Linked DNA regions of Drosophila melanogaster. The protein of the gene in region 4 purifies or fractionates together with the protein of the main gene of each other region. This does not show direct contact. Each region holds a gene or a part of one and is shown on either strand. Other genes may lie near its edges. The genes, in order: Yp2, CG16826, Mp20 and Gapdh2.

What was found.
Region 1: the proteins of Gapdh2 (region 4) and Yp2 purify together in Drosophila melanogaster (affinity purification with mass spectrometry, with the first as the bait; one large-scale study listed by BioGRID). This does not show direct contact.
Region 2: the proteins of Gapdh2 (region 4) and CG16826 purify together in Drosophila melanogaster (affinity purification with mass spectrometry, with the first as the bait; one large-scale study listed by BioGRID). This does not show direct contact.
Region 3: the proteins of Gapdh2 (region 4) and Mp20 purify together in Drosophila melanogaster (affinity purification with mass spectrometry, with the first as the bait; one large-scale study listed by BioGRID). This does not show direct contact.

What each region holds. Positions count from the first base shown.
Region 1 is NC_004354.4:10,049,384-10,055,800, forward strand, and holds Yp2 (yolk protein 2), read right to left. Parts: upstream 3,252-6,417; 5' UTR 3,201-3,251; coding exon 2,966-3,200; intron 2,898-2,965; coding exon 1,804-2,897; 3' UTR 1,568-1,803; downstream 1-1,567. Other genes in the region: Cht6 (chitinase 6), read left to right, coding at 131-448, 509-1,032; Yp1 (yolk protein 1), read left to right, coding at 4,534-4,753, 4,831-5,930. UniProt on the Drosophila melanogaster protein: Vitellogenin is the major yolk protein of eggs where it is used as a food source during embryogenesis. Vitellogenins and their receptor yl/yolkless are required for maintenance of microtubule plus-end orientation towards the posterior pole of oocytes.
Region 2 is NT_033779.5:13,344,818-13,350,428, forward strand, and holds CG16826 (uncharacterized protein), read left to right. Parts: upstream 1-2,955; 5' UTR 2,956-2,979; coding exon 2,980-4,005; 3' UTR 4,006-4,203; downstream 4,204-5,611.
Region 3 is NT_033778.4:13,243,895-13,250,601, forward strand, and holds Mp20 (muscle protein 20), read left to right. Parts: upstream 1-2,775; 5' UTR 2,776-2,848; coding exon 2,849-2,878; intron 2,879-3,022; coding exon 3,023-3,355; intron 3,356-3,422; coding exon 3,423-3,610; coding exon of another isoform or gene 3,611-3,614; exon of another isoform or gene 3,615-3,865; intron 3,866-4,917; coding exon 4,918-4,936; 3' UTR 4,937-4,986; downstream 4,987-6,707. Other genes in the region: CG4712 (uncharacterized protein), read right to left, coding at 5,049-5,437, 5,507-5,603, 6,115-6,707.
Region 4 is NC_004354.4:15,865,231-15,871,160, reverse strand, and holds Gapdh2 (glyceraldehyde 3 phosphate dehydrogenase 2), read right to left. Parts: upstream 3,017-5,930; 5' UTR 2,918-3,016; intron 2,844-2,917; 5' UTR 2,826-2,843; coding exon 1,827-2,825; 3' UTR 1,500-1,826; downstream 1-1,499.

The DNA.
Region 1 (6,417 bases), 5.8 Mb from region 4:
TTTACCAACAATCCTGTTATTGCTTTTTCGCCTAATGAAATTATTTTGTTATCAAAATATTAAGCCATGAATTTTCTTAATTTTTTTTTTAAATTTCATATTTCATATTCTTATTATGTTTTCCCTTTAGCCACCGAGGTGCCCAGAACTCAGAACCCACTGTTCAAGCGCCGCCTCACCCTTATATCCACCACTCCGCCGTCCGCCCGCACCACCAACCCACCAGTTTCGGGCCTGGAAACCACCACCACTCTGTATTTGAACGACGACGACGAGGATCAGGTGGCCAAGTCGAGCATTCACACGAGCCGCTTCAACCAGATACCAGAGCAGGTGCGTCCACGAGAGGAATATGACTTGGCATTGCCAGCGCAGCCACTGAAGAGCACCAGCACCACAGTTAGCACCACTGCCAATGCACCACTACCAGTTATTGGCCAGGGAATCCGTAAGTGTATAACCATTGCATTGTTGTTTGTATTTGACTGGTTTTAACTTGTTACTGCAGGCCGTCAATTGATCCCACGTCCTCGTCGGCCGCAATCGACCACATCAACGCCCCCCACTACAACCACATCCGGTTCAACTTTGAGATCGACCACGTCGGCTGGACACTCGGCTCCTCCTCTCTCCCGTCGCCAGCAGAGTCGTCGTCGTCCGCACAAATACATCGAGGTCTACAGTCGTCCGCCGGCCAAGACTGCCGTAATCTCAGCCACGTCAAGTAGTCAATTTCTGGACGAGGGATTCCCGGTGGTTCACAGTCAGGTCGCCCAACGGCGTCGCAGTGGCAGTATTCTTCCGACCAAAAACGATCCCAAGGTGATCGTTCATGGTCATGGCATCATTGAGTGCCGGGCACAGGGAAATTTTCCGCATCCCCTCAACTGCAGGAAGTTTATATCCTGCGCCCGATTCGAGGAGACCGGTGGAATCGTTGGATGGGAGTACACCTGTCCCAAGGGACTAACCTACGACGGCGTCGGCGGCATGTGCACCTGGTCGCCCTCGGATCAGCCCTGCCGCGATTAGACTGATAGACAAACAAATCAAAAAAAAAAAACAAAAACAAAAACACAGCTCTAAATAAGCCTCTAAATCCATTAACCCATCTCATCTGGAGACCCATTCGCATCGATAAAAAGACCATCCATTCCCATTGCACCCCGTGTTGTATATGATTTTTCCAATTTGTGATTAGTTCTGATGAGGTTGTTGAAATCGAGACGATGAATATGAGTGAAGCAAGTTGAAATTCTACGTTAATTATTCTTATTTAAGCTTAGTGATATCTCAACCCAATTTTTTTGCGCCTGCCAATACAGTAGTAAGCAAGAAATATTGTCCGTAGTTCATCGTCCCATATATATAGCGCCATATCTATATATGTGGTTGTGCGTGTGTGTACGCTATATATCATAATGGATAATATGCTTTCTTTATCAAATAAACATATCATGTAATCCAAATGTTTGTTGTGTGCTTCTTTTATGACCTCAGTGGCATTGCATAATTTGGTTTTGGATATTTTTATATAATGAGCATTTAGAACTCTCAAATATTTCGACATAAGCAATTGTTTTTATTGTAAATTGAACTGGGGTTTTTTTCTGATATTGAACTGAACTCTTTAGAATGTTTAAAAATGCAAACGTTTTTTATTGTGAGTTAAAAAAACAAAGCTAACTAATCGTAGTGGATGCAACTGGCAGAGGGTTCTGCTGGATGAGGATGGGCTGGAGTGGTTCGCTCGCATGAGGGGTGTGCGATCTGGTTGTCATCGATGGATCACTGTGCGATGATCTACTGACGGCGGGAACCCTGGTTGGAGGAGGACTGGCGCCAGGGCTGGTGGACCTGGTGGTAGCCGGTCTGTTTCTGGGCGGGAGTGCTCCTGCCGAAGGGGCTCTTCGAGTTCACCTGCAGAATGTAATCGCCCTGCAGATCGAAATCGGTAGCGATGCCCATGTAGCCGCGCTTGCCATAGCCCTTGTTCTGCTTGTACTCCTGGTACGAGCTGGCGGCCACGGAGGGGAAGTTCCTCTCGTTTCCAGGACGCACGGACTCGGCGAAGTAGCGGGTGGCACGCATGGTGGCCTCAACGACATTATCGGCTCCGGGCACTCCGGTCGAGGGTCCGTTGGGGAAGAAGTCCACGTTGGCCAATCGCTGGCTGGTACCCATGCCGTAGGCGGAGGTGTGGATGGCATCAACGAAGTCAGCATCACCACGGGCCAGTCCGGTCAGCCTCTCCTCGGGCTTGCCGTAGATCTTAGTGGGGTCCAGGGCGGTGATGCGGCGCAACTTGTGTCCGGTCTGACGGGTGAACTGGCGTCCAGCCACTCCGGCAACGTGGGCAGCGGGTCCAGAGCCAATCAGATGGATAATCTCTTGGGGCACGTTCACGGTGTTGGTCAGCTCAACCAGACGGTTGCCAATGATCTCGCCCAGACGCTCAATGTTCAGGGTGGCGTACTGCTCAAAGTCCTCGATGGCATTGCCCAGCTGAATCACAATCAGGTCTCCGGTCTTGGTATCATCCTGTTCACCGTTCTGCTTCCTGCGCTGCGTTTGCTGCTCCTCGCTGGAACTCCTCTGGCTCTGCTCCTCGTTGGAGTAGTCGGTGGTCTCATAGGGCTGGAGGTTGTAACGCTGCTGGTAGGCCTGCACCAGCTTCCTGGTAGCCTTCTGCACTTGGGTGTTGGTCTCGGGCAGGCCCTGGATGAAGATGGTGACCTCATCGTCGCCGAACTTCTGCTGGCGCTTAACCTTCTCCACCAAAGTGTTCAGGTTGAACTCGATCTTCTGGCCGCGCTCGCCGACAATGTAGCCCCTGATCTGGCTGGGTTCCGGGGTGTAATCGGGCTTGAAGACATGGTTGAACTGGGACAGATGGTCTGCGGGATAGGATAGTGCGTGTAAATATAACATGATTGGTAGAACTTTTAGAGATCCTTGAACTTACAGAGCTTGTCCAACAGCGTAGCGCCCTCCTCCAGGCTCATCTCCTGCAGCTTCTTAAGGGTAACCTCCTTCAGGTTGGGCAGCTCCTCGACTTCACGTGGATTGACCCAGTTGCTGGGCTGCTCCACATTGTCCAGGGAGTTGGATCGGCGACCGGAACGGTTACCAGATTGGGGATTACCCATGGCGACCGCCAGAAGGCAGGCCATAACGCAAAGGGTGCGCAGAGGATTCATTGTGGCTTCCAAGTTCGACTTTTTCAGACACCGTACCAAATTGTACTGCATACCCACTGCTGCGACTCAATGCATTTTATACCCCTTGGAATCGGTAGTCTATACACACTATAATGCACGCGCCGGAAGCAATTGATTTCAGCAACCGATTTCTGGATCAGCACAAATGCATTGATTCGCAGCGTCAGTGATTTTGCAACACTTCTGATGAGCTCTAAAATTTCGTTCCCCTTTTTTTTTTTTTTTTTTGGTTATTAAGTATCCATCGGGTAACAGGTAATGGGAAACTTCTTTAACCAGCACTTTCATAACATAAACAAAAGGTGGTCTGGCCATTAAGGGGCTTGACAGTGGGGGCACGACTTGAACTCATGCACAGGTCAAGATAAAGCTTTTGTTTGAAAAAAATATTTGGCAATTTTGTGAAATTTATGCAACTATTTAAGTGTTTGCCAAAAGAATTGTCTAAATTGTTCTATAAGCAGATAGCACTTTCAGGGAAATGCAAAATAAATATATTATAAATTATAATATTATAAATATAAATATTTACATCTATCGAAATATACATATATTTTTAATAAGTAGAATGAGTTACATGAAATAGCATCGATAAGATCATATATTATAAAACGAATCCCGGATATTAAAATAGAATCTCCTTGAAAAACGTTCCCCTGAATCAATTCATTTCTAAAGTCCAAAAACAAATATAATCTTACTATCTTGCCTTGGAAACTACAAACATTCCATACTTTTCGTATCAATGGCAAACATCTAGGAATCAATGAACTGTATCGGCCTTGAATTGAAAATGCAAAATTATGGACTTTTAATTAAGCAGAAGAAAAGTGCCAAATATAAATCTACTTATAAACAAAAAAAATCAATAAAATGTTGTATATAATAACCAACTAATGCCCATGTTAGATCTATATTTTATGCATTTATTTGATCAAATCCGGTGCACAACTACAATGTTGCAATCAGCGGAGCCTACAAAGTGATTACAAATTAAAATAATCAGGCGGCAGCAGGTGCTGCTAAGTCATCAGTGGGGTCAGCTATAGGTAGGCCCCGTGTCTATTTTGTATGTATACAATTTATTCCGCTATCGATAGCATATACACTCATCCGATTCCCAGGCACCCGAAAACCCTTACTCAGCACAAGTGACCGATTAAGGCCTGAGCCAGCGAAAAGCGAGTCAGAAAATGGGAAATCGCTCAGCGCAAATTGTGGTATATAAACCACCATCGTTGGATTTGGAAGGCCAGTTCAACTCACTCAGTGTTGAAGTCGCATCCGCAGGACCAAATCCCAAATCCGAACCATGAACCCCATGAGAGTGCTGAGCCTTCTGGCTTGCTTGGCGGTCGCCGCCTTGGCCAAGCCCAATGGCCGTATGGACAACTCCGTCAACCAGGCATTGAAGCCGTCGCAGTGGCTCTCCGGATCCCAGCTGGAGGCCATTCCCGCCCTCGACGATTTCACCATTGAGCGTCTGGAGAACATGAACCTGGAGCGTGGCGCCGAGCTGCTGCAGCAAGTCTGTGAGTAATCCTAGATGCAGATAAAAAAAAAAAAAAAAAACATCGAATATTCTATGGAATATATATATCCTTTGTAGACCACCTGTCGCAGATCCACCACAACGTTGAGCCCAACTATGTGCCCAGCGGCATCCAGGTCTATGTGCCCAAGCCCAATGGTGACAAGACCGTTGCTCCCCTGAACGAGATGATCCAGCGCCTGAAGCAGAAGCAGAACTTTGGTGAGGATGAGGTGACCATCATTGTGACCGGACTGCCCCAGACCAGCGAGACCGTGAAGAAGGCGACCAGGAAGCTGGTTCAGGCTTACATGCAGCGCTACAATCTGCAGCAGCAGCGCCAGCACGGCAAGAACGGCAACCAGGACTACCAGGATCAGAGCAACGAACAGAGGAAGAACCAGAGGACCAGCAGCGAGGAGGACTACAGCGAGGAGGTTAAGAACGCCAAGACCCAAAGCGGCGACATCATTGTGATCGATTTGGGCTCCAAGCTGAACACCTATGAGCGTTATGCCATGCTCGACATTGAGAAGACCGGCGCCAAGATCGGCAAGTGGATCGTCCAGATGGTCAACGAGTTGGACATGCCCTTCGATACCATTCACCTGATTGGCCAGAATGTGGGTGCCCATGTTGCCGGTGCCGCTGCCCAGGAATTCACCCGTCTCACCGGACACAAGCTGCGCCGTGTCACCGGTCTGGATCCCTCCAAGATCGTGGCCAAGAGCAAGAACACCCTGACCGGTCTGGCTCGCGGTGATGCTGAATTCGTTGACGCCATCCACACCTCGGTCTACGGCATGGGCACCCCCATCCGCTCCGGTGATGTTGACTTCTATCCCAATGGACCTGCCGCCGGTGTTCCCGGAGCCAGCAACGTGGTGGAGGCCGCCATGCGTGCCACCCGCTACTTCGCCGAGTCCGTGCGTCCCGGAAACGAGAGGAGCTTCCCCGCCGTGCCAGCCAACTCCCTGCAGCAGTACAAGCAGAACGATGGATTCGGCAAGCGTGCCTACATGGGCATCGATACCGCTCACGATCTCGAGGGTGACTACATTCTGCAGGTGAACCCCAAGTCTCCTTTCGGCCGCAACGCACCCGCCCAGAAGCAGAGCAGCTACCACGGTGTCCACCAGGCGTGGAACACCAACCAGGACAGCAAGGACTACCAGTAAGGATGAGTCTGCTTACTCTGGACACCTGGAATGGCAACTACCAAACAACAAACAACCACCCAACCACACAAACACTGTAGTCCCTAAGTTGAACCCATATTGGCCCTTTTCTTGAGATTACCTAAACATTTAACGAGCACATCGCGAAATTCAGCAAATAAACGCTCGATAAAGAGCTTAAAAATATCTATTTTGTTTATCTTAAATCATTTAGGAACTATAATAGTCTAATAGATCATCCCAAAAAAAAGGGAACAAAATCAAAAGTAAATATCGTAGTTTGGTTTTGTAAACTTAGATTTATTTTATTGTTGTCGGTGTTTTTGTGGTGTTGAGGTCTAATCTTCTCCACTTATGGCTTGGGCTCAGATTAGAAAATAATTTGTTTACGGTAATTTGGGGGGAGTATTGCTCATGGGAGGCTGGCGTTATAACAATAAACCTCAACATGAAGCGATAACAATTAGAAATACAGCCAAGAGTTTAG
Region 2 (5,611 bases), on a different chromosome or scaffold from region 4:
TGTACAAATGTACAAATGTACTCCGGTGGACTACACTGCTGCCACCTGGCGCCTCCACCTGATCCCCAAAGCGTCCAGGAGCGCGACAAGATAAAAGCTGGTGCACTAAATCTGCTGCTATGTGCGCCACGGGACACAGTGGGCAACCTTCTACGGCAGCTCCTATTCTCGCACTGCTTCTTTTGGTCGGGCCACGCTGCGTATGAGCAATGCTATGCGCGTTAAGTATATGTATTTGTTTGTCCTAAAGGATTTAGCCAAACGGCCCTCATCATGGTCGCCTGCATATGCAAAATAATGCGCTCGAAAATTTTCCACTCGTTGCACTCACTTAGAGCAATGGTATTTTAGGAAAATATGCAAGTGCACTCAGTGCTTTTATGTATTTCATTCTGATTTTCATGAAAAGTTATATTTATTGTGCTCTGTAAGTAAAGCAAGTGCACGGAATTGGGAAAATAATATATATTTCCGGACAGTCTGAAGAAAATATTGATATATTTAAACTATAAAAAATACCTGTGGGAAGATTGTTCGGATTATTTTAATCTCATATGTGCAAAAACGAATTAACGAACTTTTATCATCCACTTTTCGCTGAAACTGCAATACATTCTGCAGGCCCCTAAAGCTCGATGGCCATCATTAATGCAGCCATTATTTCCCATATTTTTTATTTTTTATTTATATTTCTCCTTATCGTAGGCAGGCCTGAAAGGGGGGCCAAGTTAATTTCAGAGCACACTTTACGTGCTGCAATTTGGAGCGTTTCAGTTGCATTCGGACCCGGGCCAGCAGCACATTTGGTAAGCAATAAATTGACCCGCCAGCCGACGCCATCATCTACTTTAAAAGCATTTGTTGCCACACCGCCACCACCCAGAACCTGTGGCCGCGCCCCCAATCAGCAGCACTTGGAGCCATCCGCCGCCCTGTGACCTCCTCCAATCCCCTCCAGCAGTTGCCAGAGCGCCGTACTCGAAGCGGCGACGACGCTAAAAAGATACCGGAAATGTTACAGGAAACAAAATGACTTAATGGCCGCGATTGCAACGGCATGGAATCGTTTCAGGCATCCTCCTGATCCTGGTCCTTTTCCATTTTCCTTCATGCTCCTTGGTCCATAGCCTGCTGGCATTCATGGAGGTTGCCGAGGTCAGCAGAAAAGCATAAAGGAAAGGTTATGGCACGGCCATGTGCTGAATGGATACCCTTCTTCAGATCGTCTTTGTTTACAAACATATTTTATATCAATAAGTCATAGTTATTATTTTTAAAAAATAATAAAAAGTTAAGCACTCTTTTAAGTGCTCAAAGAATAGCTATTAAAAAAGGTACTAAGTTTAATAAAATACTTATCACGTGTAAGACAAATATATTCTATTAAGGTCAAGTGATATTTGTGATGTAATCCCACTTACATAAACTTTTTTGAGCTAGCATTTAAGCTCATGCTTCTCGAATTCCCCACATGAATTGCTTTTCTTAAATGGACCAGACTCTCCCACTCCACACCTGATGTCCTCTAAATGGAGCCGATGATGAGCGTGATCCGCCAAAGGCAAGTTACTGCCCATACGACCCGACCCGACCTCTTTCTTTAAACAGGTAATTGCAATTGCGACATCATTATCATATGCTAAACGGAACTGATTGCTATTGAAACGGTTTTGAGGTTTGAATTTCTTTTGAGCTGAAACATATTTCTAATTAAATTAATTAAGCGAAGCGAGAATATGGCAAGTATGCAAGCCAATTAGTGGAAAACGCAAAATTAAATGTCTGTGCATTGAGGAGACTGCAGCGGTGTGGAGTGGATGGGTGTAAAAATAGCTGGGAAAAATGGCAACCAGAAGAGTGCGGGATCGCTCCGCCAACCCATTGTCCTTGTCCATGGAGCACTTTGTTGGCCACTCCGGCTATAATTGCGTTGAGACATGTAAGCTTTTGTTTTGCAGTTAGGCGTGTGGCTGTGCGACAAAGTTAATGACAGCATAATTAAACAAAACTAACAGCAGACTAATAAAATGTTCATAGTGCATGTCGCTCAAGGCCTCGGCACATCACCACGCCATCACAACCCCATCACCTCGCCACCCACAATGCCAGCTACTTTCCATATCTCCAAATGTATATACATTTATACAATACATATACCTGGCGAGCATTTCATGTCGTTGTGTGTCAACGTTTGTCAAGCGACAATTAAAGTCATAATAAAGGCATGCTAAAGACAATTATTATGTGCACGTCCTGCCACGCCCCCCAAAAAGAACCACCCAGTTCGTTCGGTTAGTTATGCATAAAGTTCGCCACAAAAGGGTTTAACCTGAGCGTAAACATGCGCTCCTTTGTCTCGCAGGCATATAAATTTCAAAATTAAAGCAGAGTTTAACCTTTGTCCTTGTGCAAATGGCAGGGTGGGTCTATAACCACCTGCCTGCGATTGTGTGAGACCCGCATAAAGAGCCTTCGGTTTTAATGCACGCGAAATTGACTTATTTGATTTATTTTCATAGTTTAAGCCAAGGGCTTTTATTATAAGCATGCTTTAAGTGAGTGGATTTGAGAGGGGATTTTAAGAAAATGCAAGGCAAAAGTTATATTTATATTCGCGTTGTTAATTATTTATTGAGTACTGTATTTTGCGGTGATTAAAAAAATAACGTTGTGTTTGAATAAAGAAAATCATTGTCCTCATAACACTGAGAATGCATAAAATAATTTTTTTTTTAATTGCCCCCAAGTACAGTAAAACAAATGTGCACAGAGCTTTCTTCGAAAAGTTATCCAACCAGCATGCATTCCACTATTCGCTCATTATGGAAAGCGGCTGATTAAATATTAACTAATTTAATAAAATGCCGGCCTGCTTCAATATTGAAATAGTCAGCGAATGTATTTGCCCAAGCGCACGTAGCCGAGATATATAAAAGGTGGTCCAGGGTGCAGAATGATTAGGCTATCCGTTGACCGACGATGCATTCGACCAAGTCAGCCGTTCTCCTGCTCGCCCTGGCCATCAGCGCCAGCTGCGTTGTTGCCACACCGCATCCGGAATTCTTGGATGAAATCTTCGGCTCCATAAACCAAACTGGCCAGCACATCATCAGTGGATTCGTGAATGCCACCAGGAATGGCACGGCCATTGCTGGTGAGTTCCTGGACAGCATAAGGAACTCCTCCGCCCAGTACACGCACGAAACCCTGGAGTTTGCCCAAAAAATCGCAGATGCAGTTCATAGAGCCGCCACTGAGTCAATCGTCGACTTTTCCGCGACTCTGAGGGCGCAGATCGACGCACTGCATCAGGGGATTGATCGGGTGAGAAACATCCTGCAGCGAGAGGCACTTAAGGATGCTCTCGCCAGACTGCAGACCGTCAATACCGTCGTAAATGATCTGGAAGTGGCCGTGAATAACCTCAATGATCGGATAGACGAGAAGAAACAAGAGTATTTCGCCATAATCCAGAAGAAGTGGTACCAATGGTCTGACGCCCAATTGGAACGAGTGGATAAGCTGACGAATGGAGTTGGCAACGAGGAAGCCGAGGAGATCATAAATGAGCTACTCTCCCGGTATTCCGGATATCTGCACAGCTGCCTGGAGGAGTTGCAAGCGCAGCAAGCCACGTTTGAGCAAAATGTCCAAGAGGCCATCGAAAAGTACCACAATGCCACCAACGAACTGACGGACCAAGTCGAGCTCTGCGTCCAGTTCAACCTCAGCTTCCTGTCCTGCCGCAATGGCATCAATGAGGCACTACGCGGACTCGACTCGGCTCCCGCGGAGCTGCTCACCCTGAAGCTTCAAGGCATCCGACTACTGGCCATCGGCCTGAATGCCAGCGGATGTGTGGGCCAGACCCTGGCCGAGCACGAGCTGGAGAAGCCCAGCGTGGAGCGCAAGCTGGATGAGATCATTGCGGAGTACCAGGAGCAGCAGACTTCCACCGATGACGACTCTAGCTCTAATAATGAAACGACCACCATAAGTTCGTAGGATTTCGGGGAGTCATCCAGTAATGAATATGACAACTCCAGCAATGACGACGAATCCTCATGGAAATATTTACAAGAACGTATAGTGTATTTTAGGTGTCGGGTAGAAGCAGCAAAATAAATTACTCTAATGCAACTAAATTAGAAATTGTTTTCCTTCATCGTTTATCAATGATGTTTCTTAATAAACTATGCCAAGCTTCTCAAAATATTTCTTAACTTTGAACAGTACTTTAAAAATTACTCTACCGCAAACGTATTACCCAGATACCGATTAACTTCATCAATGGTGCAGCACATTTTTTGCGGATGCTAAAGCAATTATTTTAAAATTGTCATATTCATTTATTTAGGTAAGGCACGAAAGTCGTGGCAATTTAAAGACACGAGGCTTTAGTAGATTAATTATTTAAATGCATTCGATTCTGCCTTTATATGTAAATTAAATAAGGGTGCTAAATAATATAGAAAAAGGGAAAAAGAAACTAACTTGCACTCTTAGCACCTCCCCTACTAACAAATGATGCAAATGAACTGAGTGAATTCCCCTTAAAGGACTTCCCCAGCTGCTATAAATATAAATAGTTGTATAACAACAGTAACGAAAGGTATAACACTGAATTAACAATCTCAACTGCTATAAAAATGAACTTTTGTGCTTTTGTATAACAGTCAATTGAAGAGGACACGAAGCGCGTAGTACAGCGTTTATAAAGTTTTATGCTGTTATATTTTTCAATGAAAATGTGTTATTTCATATCGAATATAACAGATTTGCTATAATATTCAAATTATGGCTCCGTTCAACTAGCATACATCTGATTCTCATTTATAGCTCATACGCCATGTATACATAACTAACGTACAGCTGGGTAAATTACATTTATAGCTCATACGCCCTGTATAACACGTGTACGATTTCCCCTTTATGACTTTGCGAGGGGGGCACTAAATGAACCACTCGAGAATAAATATTTGCTGAAATAAAACGCAGGCTTTCTATCTTAGTTTGCTTACTTGCAATTTTATTGACTTCATGTGTTTGAATAGATCTCTTTAGTATCTGAATTTGCCTCTTATTACCTAAAGACCACTAAATCTGTTTTTCTGATTTCTGTTTATTATTTACTTAATGATTATACTTTTTGTGCGCTAAGCCAAACAAAAAGTTTACAGATTTCGAAGCATTGGAAATTCGATTCAGTTTCGTGATAATACTAAACTTATCATTTTGCGTTTCTGCCTCATGCACAAGCCAAAAGACAAGGACCTGTAAATATGTCCCAAGCTTTTTCAGCCCACTAACTCATAGACTGAGCGCTTACCTCGGAGGAGTTTCGGCCTTACTAATTGATAATGTTGCACTAACAGTTCGCTGGCAAAATATCGATACATATTCATTGTTTTGCTGCATGCAACGCCTTACTTTCATTCTTGTATACCTTATTGCTTACTCTAAAACACGAAACAATGGCTTAGATTACATATGAATTTCGCATTAGGAATTTACTGAATTTTGTTTAGGAATAATTTTGCATTAGGACTACCAAAATCGGGAAAGCATATTTTCCAAATTAAAGAGAACAACCAAACAGTGATTAGTGATT
Region 3 (6,707 bases), on a different chromosome or scaffold from region 4:
CCTTTTTCTATACTATTTTTAATAAGAACTTATATTTTTATTAGCAACAAAGTAATGTGTGTGGAGTCAATAAATAAATTTGTGAAAAGGTGTCAGTTATTGTTTGGCTTATATTATAAGATTTAGATTTAGAGAAGCCGATAATTGGCAAAAGGGGAAAAATTTTAAATACAAAACAAATAATTCCTCCAACATTGTGCTACGAATGTTCTTTGAGCGACAAAGTGAAAATGTTGAGATTTATTTAATTGCTTTTGTCGCAAGGAGCCGAAAAATGTCTACAGAAATTATGAGAAACTTATAAATAACTAGTGGATGCCATGACCGCGGCGAATCGAGTGTTTATTTTCGTTAACAAAATGACGACATTGGGCATGATTTTCCAATTAAATGCTGAGCTTAAATAAATAATGCGTCTATTTATAGACGGCCAACTCACTGGCAATGGGGCACGAGTTGCCAGTATCTGTATTCGAATCAATGTTCTTCGTTTTGTGTTTGTTTATAAATGAAATTGCAGTCTGCAAACTGAAACGCTTGACTCAATTTCCGTTTCCGCCCAGCTTCACTGTAAGCCAGCGGAAGCGGCACAAATGCCAGCAAGTGGTTGCTGGATGGCCCAAGGGCTAGCCGGATCCTTTGGAGCCATTGGATCCATTGGATCCCTTTGGTGCCTTTACTCCCCAACGACCTAATTTTCGCTTGACTTCATTTCGGATATGCGTTGCCATTTTGTGACCATTGTGTGCTGGCCATTTTGCGGAGCATAGGCCGTCGGCCTGGTTGTGGATTTTTTTATGCTGATTTATGGGAAAATAATCCCGGCTAACTTAGCGCCTGCAAAATGGTTCTCCTCCGCCAGGATGTTTGCACACTCGAATCTAATTTTCCTGGCCAAACACATACACAATGCTCTGCTCTGTGCAATTTTGGCACAAACGTTGATGAGGATGTCGTCTGATGAGGATGCATGAGGGACCCCCAGGGTTCGGATAATCATTTAATCAGCCATTTGTTTGAATTGCAATCCAAGGGAGACGATAGTAATAGTACTTTCCAAAACCATCGGGTGTGTGCCATCGCGTAATTGAATTTGATTCTTTCACTTGACGAGCCACACCCCTCAGCAAATGCAATTACAATAATTTAATTGCCGTGAAAAATGGCCGCCCGGCTGCGGGGCATTAATTAAATTTTTGCGAAGACAATAGTCAAAACCCAGCCTGCGGCGCATTTAATTCACTTAAATGGCAACCAATGCGGTTTACTTCAATTCGCCGCGTATTTGTTAATTAAAATAAAAATGTAAGAAAGAAAACGCTCCGTCGAAGTGCCGCGGGCCAAGGAGGCGGTAAAAATAAACGAACACGCCATCTGTTTTTCTCCGCCGTGGGAAAAACAAGAAAAGCCTGGAAAATCTCAACTATTTCGGCTCGGCTCCACCTGTTCGGCGTCGAGAATTTAGAAATAGTCGCGCTACCCATAGCACAAATTCGTCGCGCCTTTTACGTGTATCTCGTAGATTTTCCGACTGTTATCGAAATTGTATCTGCTCTAGCAAAAGATTTTCCCCCATCCCGAAATAGATGTCGCTGTGCGATTTGTTTGTTTGGCTTTCCCCCCCGAAATACTCTAATAAAATATTAATTTTTGTGGGGGGGCACGAACTTTGACAGTTCCCAGTCGCCTTGACTGGTCGCCTCTTCACTTTATTGCCCTCTCGTTAATTTTGAAGGCATGTTTTGCTGATGGCTGTCCTCGAACAAAGTGCTTTTCAATAACACAAGGCACATAATTCAAGTTAATTTCCCGCTCATAAAGTAATCGCTGTCCTTTTTACTTTTTAAAGCTTGCAAATTGCTCCGTCTTTTCCTGGAGACATTATTTATATCCATTATCAGATTATAAATACATTGTATGAATATTTCAATAATATTTATAAAAATTTAAAACATTAGTATGATAGTAGTATGATGAAATTATTTCGAATATTCTCTTAATAAACTAATTGGCATGTTCTAAATTGTGAATATTGCAAAGGATGCTCCTCACATTTTGTAAATCTCTGTAAATTCTGAAGGACGTGTCTTTGGAAGATTTGATTATCAAATATATTTGAAATACCAATTAAATCCAATTTGAAAAACATTTTCAGTAAAAATTAATAAGTACATGTCATTTTTGTAAACTTTTTATGCAGAAAGTCCTTTTAACAAGAAATTGCCATGTCGCTGATCTGATCTGATAACTGTGAATAATTGTGAGGATGTCCATGTCATCATAAATTTCGCTGTAAATTCTGGAGGATGTGTCGCTCGATGGGAACCAATTTGCTGCCATTTTTAATTATGACCCAATGCATGCCGATGGAAATTACGGGCAACGAATGCACGCGCCCGAAATGAGTTCAAAATGACAGCAGGACAGCAAGTCCGAAAAAATGCGGCTAACATGCAAATGAGCAGTACTTTGAAGAGCACAATCTACACACACTCGCACACACACACACACACACATACCATCGATTGGAAATGTGTGAAAATAATGAAGCATTTGGATTTTTCCTTTTTCTCAACCGATGATGATCTAAAATTATAACGCACGATTCATACGCGGGAGACGGGCAAAGTCGGCGTTTCGAATATATAGAACGCCCACGCTGCAAAATTTTCACACACTCGACTCCGAATTCGGATATATTTTTGGAAAATTCTTGAACGAATTCGTCGGAGAACGCTCTCTCGCGCTTTAAAAGCCGCATACGCCCCGTTGGCTGGCATCAGTGTTAGCTTGTCAGAGCTTTAGTGAAGATCCCGCAGGACCCGAAACCAAAAACCAAGAATCAAACATGTCTCTTGAGCGTGCCGTTCGTGCCAAGGTGAATACTCAATCAGTGAAGAAAAAAGATCCTTAAGAAAACATAGATATAAAGGAAAATAGATGAAAGAAATGTGAAATTACCAAACAGTTTTGTGAAATATTGTGCCTAAAATATGAATTTTTTCTTATCCGATCCACCTAGATTGCCAGCAAGCGCAATCCCGAGATGGACAAGGAGGCCCAGGAGTGGATCGAGGCCATCATTGCCGAGAAGTTCCCCGCCGGCCAGTCCTACGAGGATGTGCTCAAGGACGGTCAGGTGCTGTGCAAACTGATCAACGTGCTGTCGCCCAATGCCGTGCCCAAGGTCAACTCCTCGGGCGGCCAGTTCAAGTTCATGGAGAACATCAACAACTTCCAGAAGGCCCTGAAGGAGTACGGTGTGCCCGACATCGATGTCTTCCAGACCGTCGATCTGTACGAGAAGAAGGATATTGCCAACGTTACCAACACCATCTTCGCTTTGGGCCGTGCCGTAAGTTTCAAATCGCCTTCTATCCCATTGTCAGCCAGGCTAATCCTTGAATTGCGGCTCATTGCAGACCTACAAGCATGCCGACTTCAAGGGTCCCTTCCTGGGCCCCAAGCCCGCCGATGAGTGCAAGCGCGATTTCACCGAAGAGCAGCTGAAGGCTGGCCAGACCATTGTGGGTCTGCAGGCCGGTTCCAACAAGGGAGCCACCCAGGCTGGCCAGAACCTCGGCGCTGGCCGCAAGATCCTGCTCGGCAAGTAAGCGCCAAAGGATGGCCAGGATGTCCACACCCTTTTCTACACTTATGCTAAGTGAACACACCCATATATATTTTGTATGATGAAAAACATGAAGAACACAATGATATTCCTCACCAAAGCAAAACTCAACACCAATGAACACACACTCACACAAAACAACACATAAAAGCAACGCAAAGGCTTGTCGCCTTATATTAAGTATACGCCTAAGTTAATCTATTTATGAGTACAATAAAGTAATTCAAAGAACCCAGTTTTCCACTTTCCGATCACCTCTATAACCTTGAGCTCTCTACGTTCTTGCTGCTGTTGTTTGTGTGGGTGTACAGACTTTATTTATCTGCCTATGGTGCGTTCTAAAAATGAATTTCATACCTATAGCCATATAGCTGAATATATATATATACTATATATGCATCATCGTATCAACGTTATAAAGCAAACATAAACACACTCTGTTGAGTGTGTGCGATGTGTGAAACATTCCATCGAAGCGTGTCGAGGTCAGAACATCAGCGTTGGGCAGAGTTATTATCAAGATGGGCATCTCGACACTGACTTTTACATATATTTTATATGTAGCGAAAGGAATTTCCCCCAAACTCACCTGTCCGAGGCGTGAAATTGTTCCCACGAAAGAACACACACAACATTATGTATTGCAGGTGCAACTATGCTGGTGCCAAAAATGAAAAAAACCAGACATCTCTCGCGAATATTTCACGCCTTCAGCTGGCACTTTTCTAATTTCTCGATTTATTATAGTTTGTCAGTGGGTGGAATTGATCTCTGTTGGCTTATTATGCTGAAAGCAAAGAGCAGGAATGGAAGAATCTGGAAATATTTTGTATTAATTGTATGTTAGATCTATTGAAAAAATATGTCTTAGAACGCAGAATATATTCAGCATGGATTTGTTATTAGTTTTAAATGACGCAGTCTGCAAATGAAATATTTTCCTCATTCGTTTTGGCTAATTGAAGTGTACTCAGGTCGTGTGTACAATATTTTAGACTCAAATAGTGCTCAGAAAGGATGATTAAGAATAAAGCGTGCCAATTTCCGAATCGGTATATTTAGAATTTTGAAAATTTCCAACAATTGGTTGCTAGAAATATTAATGAGAACAACCAAACGGTATTTCCCCTTGGTTTTGTTGTTTTCTTCAACATATATATATGGATGGAATAAATAAAAGCAGGCAAATAAATAACAAACTTGACACTGAAAATGTGGGGGATATATATATATATATACATATATATTAATAATGGTTCATTAAGAGATTTTCTCTACCGTTTCAGGGTTATTATTGATGCATAAGCTTACGACTAGGAAGTCTTGAATTTTCCATTGTTTATAGCATTAATAAACGACAAATATTATATTATTTTTGTGGAAAAATGTATTTGGTTGAAAAGTGGTAATAGCCCTATTAAATAATCGAGCTCTTTTTTCGAGGTGACATCAAACTTTGCAGCTGATTGGTAAGTGATTTTAGGGTTTCCCGGAGACTCGAGACCATTTTCTCCTTTTCACGAACATAGGCGACAGTTCGATCGTAGTCATACATCAATGCGGGCATAGCCAGGATACCACCCTGGCATGTCAAATCTCTCATCCGGCGCCTAATAGCCTTGTGCTCCAGTTTTCGGCGACACAGCTCGGATTTTAGTTTATTTTTCAACTTGTGCTTTTCCAGCAGGTTATCTTTAAGAACGTGAATTTTGTTCTTAAGCTCGTGGGACTTCTCTCGATTGTGCTTAGTCATATGCAGTTCGGTGTGGTAGAGCCTGCGCTGTCTTTTTAATTCAATATTTCGCTCTGATGGAGATGATTATTATGCATATAATAATGAACAAATTTTAAGCAGAGATGTTCATAGGACTATACCTTCAATCTTCTTTTCTAGGCCGATCGTTTTGTTTTGCACGGAAATAAAGTCATTCAAGCTCACACCGTCGCAAACCGTTTCTACATCTCTTATTTTCTAAATGGAGATGTTTCAGAAAAGTATGTTGATACAAGTAAAACAATCAAATTAGAAAACATATGAAAAATTGGAAAACAATATTGGTGATAGTAAATATAATGAAAAACTACATGGCTGGATAGTGGGAAGCAATGTGTTGTAAAATATTGTGAATAACTTAATAGCATTATGTGACAATTTGAATGAGCATAACCGGCGGATAACATGGTTGCTAACATAGCATATAACATGTCGGATAACATAGCATGTAACATGAGTTGGCAGACAACACGGCGATTAACATATAATGTAATATGACGGATAACATGGCGAATAACATGAAGGACAACACGGCTGATAAAATGGCGGACAACATGGCGGATAATATAGCATGTAACATAGCATATAAAATGGCGAATGACATTACAAAAAATACGGAGGATAACATGGCGGACAACATGGCGGAAAATCTCTCAACAACGCGTTCAACATCGTGGACAACTTTTTGGACAACATCCTGGATACCTACTTCTAAGATGCGGGCCAAGGTGTGTTTCTGCGACATGAGCAACAGCCGGGCATCGCTAATTTGATTCCGATGGTCGGCCATAAGTCGGAGTTCGCGGGCAACCAGGCGCTTGAGGAAATCGGTCTCGGCGTCCGGACGAACCAGGATGCGTTTTAACGTCTGCTCGAGATGATGCTCCGTGCTGAGAACGATGTTCATGGCGTTGGCGAGGTCCAAAAACGCAGTGGTCATTAGAATGCCATATTTCTCCCTTACCCTGATGAGGCGCTCTTGACCATAGGACAGATAGGTCAGGGCGTGATCAAGGCGACGGGAGTAGGTTGACTCGGCGTTCGGCGTTAGGCGGTCAAAGTATCGGAAGTTTTTCGTGCGTCGGAAGTAATCTACCATTCGCTCCTCCAGCTGTTTGTTATGATCCCTTACACTTGTGTAATCATGCACCTCATTCTGCAGAGCGACCAGCAGCTTTTCTTTGTCCAGTCGCACCCGAATATATTCCTCAGTACCCCGATGCTCTGGCATGACTACCTTATGTATCAAATGGTTTATAAATTCAGAAATAACCTGGCTTGTCTCTATAGTCCTCAGTTGGG
Region 4 (5,930 bases):
AATCACATTTTAAAGCTGTAACAGCAAGCATTTGCTTTGCATTTGAAGGGAATTTGTTAAGCAAAAGTAGAAATATTATGAATCTTTTTACAAACTTCCACTGTTACATTTTTGAAACCATTAAAAGCAAGCACTTTACATTCTAATATTTCGTTTCTCTTAAATCCACAAAATACATACACACATATATACTCTTATGTACACACGAAGTTGCCAATACGACAGTGCCATATGTACATATGTATATGTATGTATAAACAGTTCACATCTGCAGCCAAATACACATTCTTACAAGACTTTTTCCAGCATTTTTAACCGCTATTTAAATTGGACTATATTTTCCAAAACTCATTCATGAACAACATTGAAATGTTAAAATTACATGCACAAAAATAGATGAGCATATGTATAGAGAAACGCACTGTTGCACATGTGCAACTGAACATCTATTAAAATTTCTATACATGTGTACAATTTGCATTGAAAAACATTACAAGTTACGGTATAATGTTAACAAAGATATTCGAAATGTTTAGCCACCGTTTATAAATATTAATTATTAAAGCGTCCGCACGTATATCTCCAACATACATACATATGTATATACCAATATGTATACAGATTTATGTTCACTACGCACATACGTAAGATGTGAACTCGAGATGATTTTACCCGATGCACTTATGTTTCATTATATTTCGTTGGGGAAAATGTGTACCACACACACACTGCACAATCGTTAAATTCGCTCGGAAAACATACTCTTTGTTCGCCCCGTCAGTTTTACACAAGTTATGGCGTTTTCACTCGGTAACTTTCATTTACATTCATCAAGAACCAGAAGTCTTGAACTCTTATGCTGATTTGTGTCCGTTTGTTGCTACTGCATGTTGAATAATTCACATTTTATTTTAAGGTTTCATCAATTGATTATTTTATTTACATGCCAGTATTAAAATGTTCTGAAAATTAGTGTGCCCGTGTGAGAAAATTAATCGAAAAGACGGTATAGCAAGCGATTAAATATCGATAACGATATAATGGTGAAGTGCTGTTGAAATGATGCAGTCAACCAAAATATTTGATTATATTTGCCAATTATGCAAATATAAATCGGCAGAGAAACATTATTTTCTCAGAAATGTATCCAAAAAGCCAGGCTTACACAGACAATATGCCACCGTTAGTCTCTCCAAATATCGATAACTTCTGTTTATACATTGCTTCAACTGAAGGGTTTAAGGTCGCTCTTATCGAAATCTGTAAAAGCCCGATTTTTGCCGATAACAATACCATAGAATCAGGCTCATTTAAAATTATTTGAAAACTTTAACAAGTTATGTAATCATTCAAAAACCAATCGACTTAAAAAAAATATCGACACATTTCTGTTATATATATATTACTTCCAAATATAGCAAATGAAAAAAACAATTTAAAGTAATACTCATACTATTTTAGGTATTTCAACGGTTTATACCAAATAAAAAGGCAAAAATAAATATTTAAATGCTTATGAGTCGGCATTTTTAAAACTACACACAGAGTGAAACTTTATTCAACAACAGTAAACATATTTATGTGTATAATGGATGTATTATATTAATAATTTTCCAATGTGGCTGGTAATTGAAGAGCGAAAACAGTAGCATTTCAGAGCATAGCGCATATGTATGTAGGTGATGCTCCACCGGGGAGCAATATATATATAAGTTATGTGATGCCATTTTCAGGCCGTTTCTGAAGTGTCTCACCCCATTCTACCGCGCCCTAATCTTTAACTTTTACGTAGAGTGTGGGTGGGTAGTGTTCTTGGTGTTCCACATTTAATCCTTGCTCTGCATGTACTTGATCAGGTCGATGACGCGGTTGGAGTAGCCAAACTCGTTGTCGTACCAAGAGATCAGCTTCACGAACTTGTCGTTTAGCGAAATGCCAGCCTTGGCATCGAACACCGACGAGTGGGTGTCGCTGAGGAAATCGGTAGAAACGACCTCCTCATCGGTGTATCCCAGGATACCCTTCAGGGGTCCGTTGGCGGCCTCCTGAACCTTGGCCTTAATTTCATCATAGGACGCACCCTTGCCCAAGCGCACGGTCAAATCGACCACGGAAACGTTGGGAGTGGGCACACGGAATGCCATTCCGGTGAGCTTACCGTTGAGGGCGGGGATAACCTTGCCCACGGCCTTGGCAGCTCCAGTGGAAGCTGGAATGATGTTCTGGGCAGCGCCACGTCCATCACGCCACAACTTGCCGGAAGGTCCATCGACGGTCTTCTGGGTAGCGGTGGTGGCATGAACGGTGGTCATCAGACCCTCGACGATCTCGAAGTTGTCGTTGATCACCTTGGCCAGAGGAGCCAAGCAGTTGGTGGTGCACGATGCGTTGGAGACCACCTTCATGTCGGGCTTGTAGGCATCCAAGTTGACGCCGCAAACGAACATGGGAGCATCGGCGGATGGGGCCGAGATGATAACCTTCTTGGCACCGCCCTTCAAGTGAGTGGATGCCTTGTCGATGGTGGTGAACACGCCAGTGGACTCCACGATGTATTCGGCACCAGCGCTGGCCCAGTTGATGTTGGCCGGGTCGCGTTCGCTGAAGACGGTGATCTTCTGGCCGTTGACCACCAGGAAACCGCCCTCGGCGGCAACGGTGCCCTTAAAACGTCCGTGGGTCGAATCGAACTTGAACAGGTAGACCATGTAGTTCACATCGATGAAGGGATCGTTGACGGCCACAACGTTGGCGCCCTTATCAATGGCGGCGCGGAGAACCAAGCGGCCGATGCGACCAAATCCATTGATACCAATCTTCGACATGGTTAACTTTTTGTTTATCTGGAAAGTAATGTATGTATATGTAAAGCAGTTAGTACTTGGAAAGTTTTCCGCGGAATTGAGGGAAACACTACCTATCGGCTTGCTTGCAAGGAATCGACTGTGATGGCTGAGAAATTTTGAGCGCTTTCTATGGGCGAAAACTCGGGCGAAAAATTGTTCAAAGTCAGATGAAGGACGTGCATGTCAAGCTCGAGAGCGGCTACCGCAATAAAAAAGAGCTTTTGCTCTCAGTAACGTGAAAGCTCAATGCTACCCAATAGACTTTTTGCAAGCATCATTATATGAATATAATAAGTAGATATGTACATAAGATACGCTTAACTTTAAAAACTTCTGATCTTAGACAGTTAAAGTGACCTATAAAGTATATGGATTTTTTAATTTATACGGACAAATGTTTATTGGGATATTTTTATGGCCATTTCACCTGCTCAATTTTGTTGACGGAAGTTGAGCTTTCTTGTGAGCTTAGTTGCCGGCAATTACATACGTGCATATATAGGCACACGAAACATACACATATATGAGCACGTCTGATGAACATCAATTGGTTATATTGTACATAAATATGTACATAAGTAAATGCAAATGGAAAAATCCTAACATCCCCACATAAATACATATTCATCAATTTCATTAATATTAAAATTTAGAGGTCATATTCTGAGCAAATTGAAGTTTCGCCGGTACGTGACATTAATCTGTACAATACATGTACATATGTACAAAGATACATATACATGTAAATATGTATATATCTTCTATGCATAACTACAATATTAGATGAAATAATTGTCTAAGTAATTAAATTATCCGTTTTGATGATTTCATTTAAGCAATTGTGCTGTTGTCATCCCATTGTTAAAATGAAAAACACCTGACAGCTCAAGTAGGCATCCAAATTTCATGAATTTTAAACGCTAATGGTAATAAATAGTGTTAGTCACAAAATTCCATGTACCCATAACAACGAAATTGTATAACTTTATGATGAAAACTAAGTGAATGTGACCTTTTGAGTCACGCAGAATTCATTTACCTTTTTTTATTATATATAAACATGTATATACATATGTTCTTAAAATCAGCAGATCCCGTTTATATAAATATTAAAACATATGTATACGAACGATATATAATCAAAATCAATTAATTTGGGAGTATTTTATTCATACAATCATTTGTAGTAAAAAAAAAGGTATCTGCAAATTAATCATTTCTCCTTCCCCAAACTGAATAATCGATATTGTAATCATTTAACATTCTTTTTATTCTTTTCATTCTTTTTATATATTTATCGATTTGTTTTCAGTGCAACCCTTAATTATGAACATAGCAGTGAAAATTCAAATAAGCGCGCCAACATTAAAATGTTGAAATATGCAATTTGACAAGAACTCAACATTTCTGTTGCCTTATCTTTTACATTTTATAAATTATTTCTCGAATAAGTATTAAATATTTTAGTGCGTCATGTTTATTTATTAATACTTGGGCTGGGCAAAAAAGTTCGTTCCTTTTCAGTGAGTCATCGGTTTTACTGATAAGCAAACATTTCACTTGTTTTTTAACCTCTCATCTTTATATTGTTGAAACGATAAATGTATTTCAGCTTGGTGCTAAATTATTGCAGCAAAGTCAAAAACAATGCTTACATCTTACCATTAAGATCCATTGAAAGATGACTTCTAGATTTATACATTACCGAAAAAAAGGATCCGATTAGAAAAGTATCCCTGAAAGTGAATAAAACACCTGCCAATGTTGTGGAAGTCTTACTGTCCTTCGAGTTTGTGGGGTTATTGCCTTTTATGCTAACATCCCAGGATGACTTCCTAACCTAGAAACCCCATTACAGATAGAAGCTTCTTGACGTCACGAGCTGAAGTAGGCTATCTATGTTTATTTCTCTATATAAAGAAGGATAGTTCGCCTTTCTATGCGTACTATATCAGAAGATATATCTCTGGATCTGGTCAAAGATATCACAATTATGACTGTTGGAAATTAACTACAATTAATACCGATTGTTTGCATATCAAGTTCATTTTAATATATCAAGCTTTTATATAAAAGATATCATATTAGTACCACATTCGGCAATAGTTTCGTTATGAATCCCCGAACTGCAAACTAATTGCGACTACAATGTGGCAGGCTAAAGTTGATAGAAAATGAGCGGGTGGTTTGATTGAAAAAAAATTTAATTTGATTGCATATAAATGTATGACTATTAGCATGCCAGTTTTATTAACCCGTTAATCCTGACAGACCAAACTCTTAATTAATGTTTTCGGCATGTACATATGTGCACACGTACATTAAATGATATATGTATGTAGCATTTGCTTAACACAATTTTCTTTATTATTTATTCTAGATATAACGCTGAGTTGACGGCTATGACACAAATTATAAATTAATGTTAGTAATCTTCAGTTTTTTCATTTAAATATGTATGTTTGTATGTATGTTTATTACATGACCATGTTTTATTTTATTTAAATTTTCAATTTCTTTTTCTTGACAGCATTTTCTGTTTCCATTTTTTGTTTTCTTCTCAATTATTGTTAATAACTAATTACAAATAAATAATTTCATCGAATTTGCCGATTTGTCGTCGGCAAATAAAACAGTAATTAAATTACAAATCAAATTACGCGCATATATGTGCGCATATATATGATCGCGTGGCATATACATACATATATATAAACATAACGTATACGTAATTAAATTTGCACGGAAACACACATACATAGAGAAGGGTTCTGATATTAACATACTTGAGGGATGCGCGTTCTAATAACAAAGTACTCTTAACAAAAAAAAAATGATTAAAAAAGAAATAACACGTTACTTTGTTCCGTTTTGGGCTGTGATAGAAAAATAGTTTAATTAAACTTACTGCTGGAGTACAAAATTCCTGACAATTCGTAAAGTGCGTTCGTAATTATGCAATTATGTATGTATTTTGTATTATGCATTATGTATTATTAACCTTAGATGGACTTACTTTGGCGCATTTTTAATAATCGCAAAATAGAGCGGTTGATCAACACGTTAATTGCTCCTTGTTTAAGT